2 linked regions of the Arabidopsis thaliana genome follow. The protein of the gene in region 2 interacts with the protein of the main gene of each other region in a pairwise test. Each region holds a gene or a part of one and is shown on either strand. Other genes may lie near its edges.

Region 1 (6,433 bases), on a different chromosome or scaffold from region 2:
AAAGAGCTTCCCCCTCACCGTCTAGCTGAAATCCGTCGCTTCTTTGAGGACTGTATCCTACAGAGACATGTTGCATTTAACGTATAATTTTGTTTTCGCTTATGATTTGTTTTCAGTTTTCACTTAACAAACAATGTTTTTAGACAAGAAGAACGAGAACAAGAAAGTCGACGTTGAAGCTTTCCTTCCCGCTCAAGCTGCCATAGACGCTATCAAGGACTCCATGTAAGTTTGTTTTATCCCAAACACCAAATTATTTACACGTTGTTTTGTTAATAATGAGCAATGTACTGTTTTGAAACGCAGGGATCTTTACGCAGCTTACATCAAAGCTGGCCTGCAACGCTAATGAAGAAACCAGTCCTTTTCCGTTCCTCCCGGTTTGCTTAGACATCACTGAAGCCGCCTTCTATACTACATGCATGTTAGATAAAATTTCAATTGGTGCATTTAATTTCGTAATGCTCATCAGAAAACATTGTTGAACTTAAAGCTTTCTGATGATGATGAAAAATTTCCAGTACAATCATAAAATTTGAAATATTAGCTTTTCTTTTCCCCAAAATTTTGTTTAATGTTGTTTCGCAAACATCCGAAAAGTACTCTCATACAAATCGAAGAAGATACAAAAAAAACTTAAGAAGCTACTCGGGCCTTCTTCTTCTTGGTCTTTTTGTAAGCCTTATGCCAGGTCTTATAAGTGCCCTTAGTCTTCTTAGATGTCTTGGTCTCAGGATCTGCAATTTCGTCTACTGCATCATCTTCATCTTTGTCTCCTCCTATATCAAACAGATCCTCTTCCTCTTCATCAGAACTCAACACAAAATCCTCCACAACGTCATCTTCTCCTAAGCCTTGCTCATCCTGCTTCTTCTCTGTTTTACTCTTTCCACCTCTCTTCCTTTTCTTCTTTTTCGTTTTCTCTTCTTCCGGCTCTTTTTCTCTGTTAATTACACATTTGTTGTTTTAGGTTATATCACAACGGTCAGATAAAATATCTACGTTATAGGCGTAGGAGACAACCCGGTTCCCATCCTATCTATATTCTTAAGTTGATAAAGCCACCCATAAATGTCCAAAGTACTAAGAAATAAACAGAAGGCCTTAAAACCATAGACCCGACCAGGCCTAATCTATATTACTTGGTGATATTTGGGGAAGTAATTTTTAACCTACTCGCACCATACACTACCGTTGGCGGTGCTATACCATATGAAACCCCGATATGTGTGCATTTTAAGAGAAAGAGAGACATACTTGGAGTCACTTCCCGGTAACCAAGAAGAATTGAAAGCTGCAGCACCCTTTTCCATCCTATCTTCATCATCTTCATCATCACTGCTTGGTGCGTTTTTCCCAAAGACAGCTGAGTTCTCTCCCACAATTACACTGGAGAAACCAAACGGATTATTAGTATCCGTCAAAGTCATACAACAAAAATATACAAGTGATCAACTTTAGAGGAATGTAACGCACTCAGATTCCACCAGCGATTCGTTTCTTTGCTGGGCTCTTTGGCGGATAATTTCCGCATATTGCAATAGAGGGGTTTTTCCTGCTTTCTTCTCATCCTGAACAGAGAAGACCCAAAAAATAATTTGAAACCATGTTTGCAATCATTTTGGAGTAAACATGTGTTCTGTAATCATAAACAACTTGTGGTATCCCACAAAATTTTCGAAGAATGCAGCAGTAGTTTCAAAGACGGGAAGAAAGAAACAAATATAGGTTTTGTATTATCATCACTAACAATTGAAAAAATCAAATGGATCAAGAGAAATGAGTTACTAAACCTCAAGGAATGATTCAGCAGCAAGATCATTGGGTAGAAACTTAATCAAAGCTCTCTTTTTGTTGACAAATTCTGAGTTAGCTTCAATCTGAAAAGCAAAAGAGAGATTGAAGGAGTCATCAACACACAAGTCAATAAAGTCGGTTCTTTTATTGCAAGTACAAGAGACATAAAGTAAAACCGCATTTCTCTTTTTTTCTCTTTATTACCTGGCTGATGAGTTGCTTCATTTCTTTCCTAAACCTCTCAGCTTTCGTGGATTTGCAAAAGCTACGCAGCCTTATGGTCGGGATAAATGATAGTTCAAAGAAAGCAACGGAACAACTCCACTGAGACAAATGCTCCACAAGCTCCTCCACTACTGTATAAACACATGCCTCCTGAAACGCTCTTGTCTTCACTGCTGGTTTACTTACCTAAAAAGAGAGCCAATATCCAAAATGGTTAGTTTGCAGGATAAAGTTTCATTCTATACTCTATTAGTAAAGACCCAACCACGCAAGTTTTTACCTTCAGTAGTGTGCGTAAGTCTACACCTTTGCCAACACCTCCAGTGGGAGGTCTGTTGAGCTCCTTCATCTCTAACATGTCCACAAGAAGCATTGAGACAGGTATAAAGGTGCCAGTCGCAGCAGCAAGCCTGTTTAGCATACGAACACATCTTAGTCTAAGGGGAGTGTAGCGAGCCGTGGGAACCAGTCGCGCTACACCAGTTATTATTTGGGCTAGCGGATAAGCAACTGGTCTGAGTTCAGACTGAGAGCTGTAGGCACAAACAGCTCCAGTCCAAAGCTCAAGGCAATGGATGAATTTCCATTGATACACTTTTCGAAATGCTTCCTGTGAAAACAACCAAATGTAAATAAGAGTTAACAGCAACTTTTCTCAACACATAATTGTTGTCAGAAGAACTCAATTTATGAAGATTATTGAGAAAGTACTTTTGTTTTTGTGTTAAGCGCTTCACGCAGAATCATTGCCAATTGTCTTATGAAGACAAATGCATGCTGATATGCTGCAGAGATATCTGTGCCGAGAAGCTCAATGAAGCAGTTACCAAGAAACGAAATATGCTTCAATTTATCAGCATTCACAAACTGGCAATTCAACACATACGCTTTGTACATTCCCTTGAAACAGTCATCAACACAGTCAGATCCAAGGCGTATGCACAAATCTCTCAGGAACAACAAGGAAACAACAGGGAGCGCACCACTACCAGTTCCCCAGAAATGAAGTGCAACCTAGATGGCAGAAGAGCAACAATGAAGTGAGCAAAGAAAGGACCATAAAGAAGAAACATGAACAGAATACTATCTTGCTCCAACACACCTTAATATATTTCCTTAGGAGGCTAGGAAAAGCAGCTAAAAAAACCGATGAGTGCTTTAGGCGGCGCAGAGTAAAGGTTATCATTTCTGTGTCGGTCATCTGGTTCAGAACATGAAGGGAATTCCCAAGATATGATTTGACTAAATGATTATAGTTTTTCCAAGGCCTAGTGTTTGTGAGCTCCAATATAGTCTCTTTTGTTCCTCTAGTATCTTCAGGAAACCTTAACAACTTACGAAGAATCCCGTCCATTTCACTCAGAACATATATCATTATCTTATTAAACACCTCACTTGACATAACACTAAACTTTGTCGATTGATCGTCCCCGGTATCATCACCATAGTGACAGGCAGTTCTATAAGCTCTCAAGATAGAACGCACTCCACCTAGCTTCGCTTCATCTTCGATTGATTTACTCCATGCATCAACCATCGATGCTGTAATCGTTTTCTGCACGTGCACTTTCTTTGCAATTTCCATCTTTGTTGCTTCATCATCACCTTCCTTTTCAGTGTCTTCCAGGTCAGTATCAGGTTCAACATCAGCATCATCCTACAAAATGTGAATCCCTAAGACAAAAAGCTTCCAACACAACTGGAAGTCGAGTCACAAACTCAACATATACAAACTAACAAAACTCACCTCAATTTCAGTAGCATCAAACTTTAGAAGCTCTGCATCATGCTCTTTCATATACTGAAAAAAATCAGGATCCTGCGGAACAAAAAAATCCGTAAAGTTAAAAAAAAAACTCAACTTTCCACTAATATATCATTACAATATCGCAACCAAACATGTTTCATAGATGACTCACCTTTTCTTGAAGCCTCTTAAGCTCTTCTTCATGCTCCTCAGCTTCTGCTTTCTTAGATTTCACCTTCTTCCCACGCTTCTTATCGCTCTTCTGCTCCATTACTATATCATGTGCATCGATTTCTTGAACATTATTGAGCTCTTCCTCAGCTTCTAGTTTCTTAGATTTCAACTTCTTCACACGCTTTTTATCATCTACATTTGATTTAAAGTGTTTATCAATCTCGAATCCCTTAAGCTCTAATTACAATATAAATCCAAAAACTGGATAAAAATCGAACCTTTGGCACCCATTTGTTAGCACAACACTCTGATAAATCCACCTGCAATTAAAACCATCAATGGTAACAAGAACAAATCAGTTTAAGAGTCGAGCTAAAAGACAATAGTGTAAGAATTATCAATTCATGGAGAGAATCAATCACACAAACAGTGAAAACAAGGAGAAGAATAAACTATCGAAATCAAAATGAAAGAAATCGCACCGGGAACAACAAGAAGGAAGACGGAGAGAAGAAGAAATTAGGGTTTTAGGAGAGGGTTTTTATTACAGTGTTCCTTTGTTTTTTCTTTCAATTTATTTAACCGGACAAAACCCGGTTTGACTTCGGTCGAACCGTAATTCGAATTGTTCTACTTTCCCAGAACAGAACAAAAACAGAGTTCCCAAATTTGAGAAACCAGAGGGGCACGTTAACGAGAGATTACCTGCAATTCCCAGAAAAAAACTCGACGAGAAAAAATGAAGTTGTTGTCGTGGTCGCCGAGGCTGATGTCTGAGGAAAAGTTTATTGTTTTAGGGTTTATCTTTGTGAGTTTCGAAACGTCTTAGCGCAATGGAAGGTTTAGGTTTGACACGTCTACCAATTGGTTTAACCAAAAATCCAATTTGCGAGTGTTTAACCGAATTATTTAGGCTTTAACCGGCATGTGTTCTTCAAAATCTTTATTCATCTATGTCATCAAACCCCAAAGTATCTTATGCATGACATTTCCCAATCCCTTGTATATTTCAAGTTTTTTTTTGTTTAGTTATTTTCATTTTACCACATTTTTTATTTACTTAAAAGATATCAAATATTCATTATTTATAAATTAAAGTATTTTTGAAAATAACACATATATTATCGAACAATTCTTGAGTTCATCTTTACGATGAATTCTTTTTTTCACTTCCATTCTAAATACTAAAAGCATCTACATTGCATAATCTTTTATTAATGTCTCCAAGACCAACCATGGTAAAAATAGACTAACCATGATTAAAATTAAAAACATTTTATTTTTTAGATGTCTAAAATATCTTAAGGAAGATATTTTTGACATCCAAAAGGAAATGTCTTTAATTTTAACTATGGTTAGTCTTTAAGACATACATGAGAGGTTATGCAATGTGAATGGTCTAATTGTTTTTCATAAATCAAACATGATATATGATCTCGTTTGATTACAAAATCTAAACTCTAATTCTCTTTTTTAAATTCAAACCGATATTTAAACTCGTTTAATTATAAAATTTAAATCTAACCGTTTTTTCTAAACTCAAACCGATATTTAATCTCGTTTAATTATAAAATCTAAATTCTTTTATAAATCTTAACTGACATTTAACCTCATTTACTTGTAAAATATAAACTCGTTTATAAATCCAAACAGATAGCTAATTTTGTTTAATCATAAAATATAATCATTAATCCTCTCTAGTAAACCCAAACGGATATATAATTTCGTTTTGTGATAGATAAATTTTATAGTTAAATGAATAATTTTTTATTAGGTAGCAACATCCGATTAGGTGATTATTTACAGGAAGACTGATTATGGTGGTTTCGTGGTTAAAAGATTCACTATGGTAGTTGAATGACTAACTTTGAGTCTTACTACTAAGATTTCAATCATGTTAGCCACTGTGAACATTTTAAATGGCAAAATAAAAAACTCAATGTTCGCATAATTTATAATATTTTAGTGAACAAAAAAAAATATTGTGTTATTTTTCAAACTTTTTCACATAACTTATATTATTTTGGTCAGTAAATGTTAACAGCTATTTATAAATTTGTGTGTATCACGAATTTCATATCCTTTAAATTTTATCGGTCGAAAGACAAGTTTCTCTAGTTAGCGCTTAGCAGCTTCCAAGTTCCAACGATTCGAAAGCAACTGATGCTTTGACCGATTTGAAAATGCAAAAGATTGGTCTCTGTGCATATACTATCCTTTAAATTTAACCAAATTCTTTTTGTGTAATTCAGAATTTTCTTTTTACAGTTGTAGCTATTCATGAATTACAAATATTTTCAATCATTTGGTTACGTGATGGACTAATATATAAACCAATCAACCATGTGCTTGTCGTCATTTCTTTTGTTTATTAATTGTGTTTATAAACACATATATAATAAGTATGTGTTTATTCTATTGTTAACACAACGTTTATCATGCAATGCAAGTCTTAGTCTATGTTTAGTTTATTAACGGAAGATAAAATAT
Region 2 (7,684 bases):
TAATACGATTTTAAAGGATCGGTTATCCCTAAAAAAAAGTAAGATTTAAGGTTACATAAGAACTAAGCATGTCTTAATCATATCACTCAAGTAAAGATCAAAGATGATTTTACTAACTACCCAATTACCACTATATCAACTTGGATTCTCACGCCTGCCATAATACCATCACATTCACATCACTAAGTTCAATATTTGATTTTAAAAATACTCAATTTTTGTGATATTTGAACAAAGTTTCAAGTGATTAAATTAAAACATAATCGTACAGTTATTCTCTTCAAAGATGAAAACATTAGGAAGAAAGAAATACAAAACAAACGCCACAAAATTGGAGTGACTATCTCCAGCGTTACACAGTATAATAATAATACTCAACATAAGGAGCCTTGCATAGCAAGCAACAAGTCTTGCTTCTTACTCTGATGCTTTAGACTTCTTCTTTTTCTTCTTCTTTGTGGGCTCTGATGTTGCTTTTCTTTTAGTCTTCGAATCCTCTTTCTCGTCTTGGTCTATCAAATGCTTGTACTCTTCAAGACTCGCAAATGGAGATTTCCGTTTTCTTTTCTCTTTCTTTTTCTTCTTACTACGACCATCATCACCATCACTATCATCATCACCACCATCACCAGTACCATCATCATCAACGTTGTTATCATCTTCATCATCAATCAGGTCCATGTCCATGTCTGTGTCCATCTCTGCATCGCTCACATCAGCCACGAGCTCTTCATCATCCTCGCCGGCTACTCCATCTAGATCATCATAGTCATATTCACCGCCCTCTTCTTCCACAGCATTATCATCAACATCATCCAGCATATTCTCAATCTCCTCATTGTCACTCTCATCACCAGCCTCGAATTCAACATCACTATCGTAGTTTTCTCCACCATCTCCATCATTCACATCGTAAAGTTCTTCAGCAGCTTCTTCTTCAGGTAGCTTCTTCTTCTTCTTTTTCTTTGACTGCTTCGTACTGGTCATCTTGTTCACATAGAACTTGTGGAAGACTAGATCTTCAGGAGCCACATCTCCTTCTGCTAATGAGAGAATTTCAGCTCCAATCACACGGTTTGACATGTCAAGCTGCAACATGAGATGAGAAAATAAAACGTTACAGGGGAAAAGTAGATAACAATATGGTTAAAGCTTTAATAGTTGAAGCATGAGCTTTTTACCTTCTTGGAAGGTTCAATCTGGGAACCACCATGCCAAGTGTTTTGCTTTGGTTTCTTCTCCATGAATTTATCCAAGAAAGCAGTTAGAGATAAATCGTTCAGCGGGTTTCCGTTGTAAACAATATTTGTTCCTGAGAGAAGGGTTCCAGCCATTGTAGCAACCGAGGGGTGAGCATGTTTTGAAAGAACCCCCAATTCCCACCAACTTGCACGGTCTGCGTTACTGTTAATTTGAGATCAAGGATTCAGTTCCAACCAATAAGGCTATAATATCAAGAAAGTTTTTAAAATATTATCGTTGTTCCAAGTATCGCTTGTTTAATGGGGACAAAAGCAGTATACTTAAGCTTTTGATGAAAGATGAGATTAACTAACCAGTAAGAAGGTTCTCTATGACGAGGATCATATCCTCCAGGAAGAGAACTCGGTCTCATTGGCGGTTGGCTTCTTTTTTCCATATCATTAGAAACCTCCATGACTTCTTCAAGCTGGGGAGTTTCGTTTCTAATTAGCTCTTCAGAATCATCAGAAGCATTATCATCTTCTTCATCAGATAGCCTGATTGCCAAAGCCTCTTCGTCATCTGAAGAAGAATCACCATCTCTACTTGACTTTTCGACACCATCATGATCAACTTCAACAACATTCTCGTCATTCTCTGCTTTCTTATTGGGATCAACATCATCTCCCTCTATCACATCCTCAAAATGTTCTATATCTTCTTCTTCCTCAACTGATTCCCTCTGGACCACCATCTTCCTGCAACGTAAATAGAAGGACCCATTGTATCATTGGGTAAAAAAACTAAAAACCATGGATATGTGGTTAACAGAACGAAAAAAAGCTTACCATAGAGGTGGCCTTGATTTTAAGACTTCAGATAATAGGAAAAGGCATCCACAGGCATACTGTGGTGGCTGTTGAAGCGCAACCTACTCAAATCGTTAAAGAGTACACTTGAGAGATGACAAAAAAATTTACTATACAGTGTGTCGACATCGAAAATTTAATAACAAAAGAATCAAGATTCCTGTATAGGATCAATGATGCGAATATTGTCATCATTGTCAATGAAACTAGAGCTACAAACGACGGGGTTGATGGTTTATATGATTCATGTTACCGACCTGCAAGACTCTTTTGGAGAAGGCAGCCACACGCTTGATATTTATATCATTTTTCATGGCTCTGAGAAGAAGCCCAATAAACATTTCAGCCTGCAAATTAAGAACGGCAACTTAGTAAACTCGGTCATTAAGAAAATGCTATGGTTCATGCCAGGGGCAGACATCTTGATGTTTTTGTCACAATATAAGTTGCTTTCACAAGATTATAAATAAATGAATGTACTTATGCCAACATTCATAAACCAATTCCGGGCTCTACCAAATTGTAAGGGTTATTATAACCCATACATAAACTAAGAATAAAATGACGTGATTGGAACATGGAAAAACAGAAGGTTCAAAGTTTAGCTTGCCTTGGAAGAATTCATTGCGGAGGGGAGTAGAAGTTTCGAGTACAATGCACGGTAAAACCTGTCACTAACAATCTTATTCTTGGATGAGATCTTGTCAAGAAGCATCAGTGATTGGACTCCTACATTGAAATTCGCCGAATGTACCTACATATTCAAAATCCCATTTTCTATATCAATTTTCGGTTGTAACTATGAAACTAAACTTCTATAATGAAGCTTTAAATGGTTACCAGTTTGAAAAGCACTGGCGTCTGGGATTCAATTATATCATCAGCCTCGTCAGTGGAAACATATGGAAAAGCTCTGTTAACTCCCTGCACTTACGGAGTACTAAAGCATAAGTTGATCTGTGAAGTCTCAATACTTTAAAATTACATACATCATGTACACCAAAAAAACACATCCAGACTAACCGTCAGTAGAGCTGATAGAATTCTTGAATCCAACTCAATAGGTGAATCAGTTGACACTTCTTGCTTTGTGTCCTTTGGGTTGGATTTTTTCTTATCAGCGGCTCCTTTGTCATCTGCACCTTGTTTCCTATTTGCTTCTGTAGTTAAAACCTACAAGAATGCAAACACACTTCTGTAGTGAATATCCAACTAGTGAAAGATTTCATGTTATGACTTATGACAAACGCCACCCCAAAAGAAAACACTAAGGGGTAGCAGAAGTCTCTGAGATCATGAAAGTAAGGTGGAAGTGGAGGGACTAAATTTTAAGAAGATCATAAGGAAATGTTAAATTTATTGACTTCAATGCCAGTTACCTTAAACAGGGCAAAATATACATCAATTAGACGTTTTGCCACCTTTGGATCCTCTCCTTTGTGGCTCAATCGGATCTGACTCAAAAAGTTAACCTGTGAAATTTACAAAGATTAATGAGCATTGTTTAGAAAGCTAAACATGGATAAGTTTATGCTTCTTTTCTTTTCTAAAGTCTTAGTAAAATTGTTTCCCATTCAAATCAAAGACAATACTTTAGACGACAATAAGCGTGAATCAGTTTAAAAAGAAGAGCAAGAAAATAAAGAAAAATGGTTCTCGTGAACATAATTAGAGAGAACAATGGACATACAGCATGATACTTTGCTCGTAACCCAAGATGGGGTCGGAAGAGAAAGGAGTCAACTTCATCTATAACCACAGCCTGAAAAAAAATAACATTACATGAGCCAAAGAGAAGAATCCAAACAACCAATTAATAAACGAAATACTGAAACTGGCATAGGAAGGTTGAATAGCCGTACCTTCATGTTAGGATGATCAGCCAAAAGATTTGTCAGATGATAATCAGCATTAGATGCACTCTTGTTTTGAGGATCCCCCAACTATAATATAAAGTAATCCATGGAACAATTAAAGGGATCACAACTGAGAAATTTAAATTAGATACAAATATTTGAATGAACAACAAACAATACCTTGTTCACCAATGACACTAGCAATTTCCGCTCTTGTTCTGATTTGCTTGTCAACATGAAATATATTGTCTGAAACCAAACAAGAAAAAATTTACTGAAGGAAAGATCCGAATCACGTTACCAAGCAAAAAAACTCACTGTAGCTAAAAGAAAACTACGGACCATGCCGTTATGCATCATCCAGAGAAGGATTACATTGATGATACTCAAATCTCTAATATTAAAGCTCATCAAGAATCTTACAAAACCTGGAGACCAGTGCTACTAAACAAGCTAGCACGAGCAGAGTGGTGATAGGATATATACCTTTAAAGCCTTGTCCTTCAGCTCTGGAAGCATATCTTTAGATGATTCATCAAGGGCTGTGACGAAGCGCTCATACCTACAAAGTCAGCATGCTAAGCTGTTAAACGAATCATCGACCCAGAACAATTACGGATAGAAGACACAGATCTTTGACATAGTGTGATTAAACACATCCCTCATGGCATGATTTGAGATCTTTACCTCTGTTTCAAGCAATCCTCCCAGTACCAAAACAGCAAAAGCGAGTAACCATCCTTATTTTCCGGAATGATGTTTAAAGGTCGCTGTAAAAGTGACTTCAGCTTGCGATCAGGTAATAACCTGAAGAAAGAATTTAAAAAACCTCAGTCAATGAGAAAAAGATGCAAGACTGACACATAAATCCATAGCTCATTGTGTGAGTAAGAAAAATGTGCCTGATCAAAATTTCTGATAGAGCCTTAAGACCCTTAAATGCAAATCTTTTTCCAACCTTTGAGGTCACCATTCCTGCAATGAACAGAGTAGATAATGTGAACAAGACATCAACAAAATGCTACAGAGGATTTCACCATTGAAAAACAAAACCAGAAACATACCCAATAAGGCATCAAGAGATCTCATATTTGCAATGGGATTCTCTCCAACCATAATCTCAAAGGCAGTGATTTTATCAGCAACTGTCCCAGACTTTTGAGCAGAAATCACCATCTTCATATCTCCACCTTTTCCTTTCGAAGTTGCAAAGTCCTCTGCGTATTGCCACATCAATCTCTCTCCTAATTCTCTCTTCTTCTCCACCACACCCTTAAAATCCTCCTTATTCGCCACCGCCACTTTCCGGCCACCAAACACCTTCTCCTCAAACTCAGCTGCATCGTTGTACCATTCAGAGCTCAATAAACTCGCTTTCACCAATGGTAACTTAGGCAAACTCTTGAATTCATCGAAACGTTTTTTCTTGTACCCAGTACTCTCATCATCAATCGATAAGAATCCAGGCTTTGGCTTCGGTTGTAACGTTTGCTTCACCGGTGCATCTTTGTTTTGCTTCCTCGCTCCAAAATCTTTTCCCTTTTCATTCCCAATGTTCGATTTTGGCTCTCCTTCTTCATCTTCATCCTTGTGTTGCTGATCCTTCTTAGGCTTTTTCCGTTTCTGGGTTTTGGATTTAGCTGGTTTTCGGAAATCAGTGTCGTTGAAACCCGAAGAAGGAAGAGCAGAAGCTAAGCCAATAGAAGAAGCGAATGATGCGATATCAGATGTGAGAAGACTCAAGTCCTGCGATGATTTACTCAAAGGCTTTATCTTTGACATTTTTTCTCAAAGCATATGAAGAGGGTTAAGAGAGTTTTGTGAGAGATGACTGTTTTTAAAAGAACTGAGACAGTTAGGTTTAAGCAATCTCTGTGCTTTGAGATCGAACAATGAAAAAGAAAGATAAACTTCAATGTTTGGGGTTCAACAGAAATTTTTAGGGTTTTAGAAAACGGCAAGAGAGAAGCAGACAGAGGAAATGGTAGAAGGCTAATTTCGTAATTACGGGATAAGACAAGGGCAAAACAGACTTAACGACCTAAAATCAATGAGACGATGTTTTTTCATTAAGGTTGGGTTCCTGAGACGGTCCAGCCCAATCGCTAGAACATTCAATGCAAATCCATAACTGGTGAGATTTCGATCATGTGGTAAAATATTATACTAATATCTTTGATAGAAACATTATATGTATATCTTTGAAACCTATTATAGGTTAATATACTTTTGCCACTTAGAAAAATTACTAACAACGCAAATCCATCACTGGTGAGATTATATCAGGTGATTAAAAAATTTCGATAAAGGGTAATCCAGATGACAATTTTAATTAAAGAATCTAAAAAACAAGTATCAAAATATGTATGTTTTGAAATATAAATACTAGCTACGTAATACAGTACTATAAATAACTTAAATTGGTCAAAAGTAATGGAAGAAAATATAAAAGGGTATTTGGGTTCAAATCCTAAATAAGTGAAAACTAGAAACGTGAACTCGATCGTGCATTTTATACGCCCTAAAGCTTGAGTTCAAGGTTTTTGGAAGATTGTCCTTCTTTCTTGTCCACCTCCATCGGCATATGGTTATGGGCCTTTGGTTTTGGAGGAGTTGCAATGTGTTGCGACGATTGGCCTGACTTTATCGATGGAGCAACCATCTCTGGCTTGGGAGGAAGATGACTACCGTGTTGGTTCACTTGATATGGAGCTCTAGCCACAGCCCTGAAATCAAAACAATTAATCAACATTTAAGACAAAGTAGATATTGAAGTTTTGATTTACAAAGAACTCTTAGTTAGTGTTTTTTAACTAGAAATTTCTCGACATTTTACTAATAATTTTCCTAGATCAAGGACACATAGATGATGGACTCATATCTCTTATATACTACTCTAGGTCCCATCTCGAATTTCATTGTAACTTGTAAGATTTTTTACATGTTCTTTATAAATGATGACACTTGAGTCACATCTCGAAATCTTACTCTAGGAATCATAATTCATAAACATACTAGGACCACCCTATGTTCAATTTCATGAATGTTCAACTTAAACTTGATTGGTAATACGCTTCTAATCCGATGTGGGATTCCTAGAATAACTCGAATAAGTCTTAATATGGTAATTATTAGCTATTTTTACATATAACTTTTTTAAGAAACTTTGATCCTAATCTATGCATACATTTTGACGAGCGGCCTAGAAAAAGCATAACCAAGCACAAAACAGTTTCGGAGTTTAGTTTACCTGTCTTTTCGTTTAGCAAAGAATCGATGAAGAGAAGCTCTTCTTGCAATGCGTTCCACAACCTGATGTTGCTGCCCAGTTTCTTGATCTTCATTGTTCCCGGAACTCGTTGGCTCGTTAAGATCGGGAATCACCACGTTGCTTTTGTCAAGATTCATGTGACTCTGACTGTTCTTAGAATCAACAGCAACATGATTCGCTTCTTTAGCTACTTCCATTATCTCCTTAGCTTTGTCTTCAGGAAACTCGTTGAAAACCATAACTTTTCCTCCAAAGAATATGGTCAACTGTGAATTTCCAGACTCCGGTGCTACTTTTGCCGGTTCACTAAAATCAAATCAAACCCATTTTTACAATTAGTCAAACTCCATAGTCCATACATCTATAACCGGTAGTTCTTTCTCTAATTCAATTGCTACAAAATGTGAAAACAAACACTTTAGGAGTTCGAATACATATGAAGTTTGTGTGTACAGTACCTGAGATCAATATATATGGCTTTGTCTTCGGTAGAAGTAGAGGCCTCA

Evidence for each region.
Region 1: the proteins of EDA25 (region 2) and AT2G18220 interact in a two-hybrid assay, tested with the Arabidopsis thaliana proteins (one study listed by BioGRID).

The regions. Positions count from the first base shown.
Region 1 is NC_003071.7:7,926,055-7,932,487, reverse strand, and holds AT2G18220 (Noc2p family), read right to left. Parts: upstream 4,474-6,433; 5' UTR 4,426-4,473; intron 4,264-4,425; 5' UTR 4,235-4,263; coding exon 4,222-4,234; intron 4,136-4,221; coding exon 3,942-4,135; intron 3,842-3,941; coding exon 3,770-3,841; intron 3,680-3,769; coding exon 3,125-3,679; intron 3,037-3,124; coding exon 2,734-3,036; intron 2,633-2,733; coding exon 2,303-2,632; intron 2,209-2,302; coding exon 2,002-2,208; intron 1,881-2,001; coding exon 1,794-1,880; intron 1,572-1,793; coding exon 1,477-1,571; intron 1,390-1,476; coding exon 1,258-1,389; intron 944-1,257; coding exon 637-943; 3' UTR 535-636; downstream 1-534. Other genes in the region: PPa2 (pyrophosphorylase 2), read left to right, coding at 1-52, 144-225, 307-349. UniProt on the Arabidopsis thaliana protein: Together with SWA2, probably involved in pre-ribosome export from the nucleus to the cytoplasm.
Region 2 is NC_003070.9:27,267,908-27,275,591, forward strand, and holds EDA25 (CCAAT-binding factor), read right to left. Parts: upstream 6,029-7,684; 5' UTR 5,690-6,028; coding exon 4,972-5,689; intron 4,883-4,971; coding exon 4,810-4,882; intron 4,715-4,809; coding exon 4,595-4,714; intron 4,470-4,594; coding exon 4,394-4,469; intron 4,157-4,393; coding exon 4,088-4,156; intron 3,995-4,087; coding exon 3,914-3,994; intron 3,814-3,913; coding exon 3,742-3,813; intron 3,524-3,741; coding exon 3,431-3,523; intron 3,225-3,430; coding exon 3,075-3,224; intron 2,976-3,074; coding exon 2,892-2,975; intron 2,806-2,891; coding exon 2,662-2,805; intron 2,399-2,661; coding exon 2,309-2,398; intron 2,114-2,308; coding exon 2,031-2,113; intron 1,941-2,030; coding exon 1,557-1,940; intron 1,405-1,556; coding exon 1,182-1,404; intron 1,090-1,181; coding exon 418-1,089; 3' UTR 185-417; downstream 1-184. Other genes in the region: JAZ6 (jasmonate-zim-domain protein 6), read right to left, coding at 6,429-6,633, 7,158-7,484, 7,637-7,684. UniProt on the Arabidopsis thaliana protein: Together with NOC2, probably involved in pre-ribosome export from the nucleus to the cytoplasm. Required for coordinated cell cycle progression during female gametophyte and pollen development.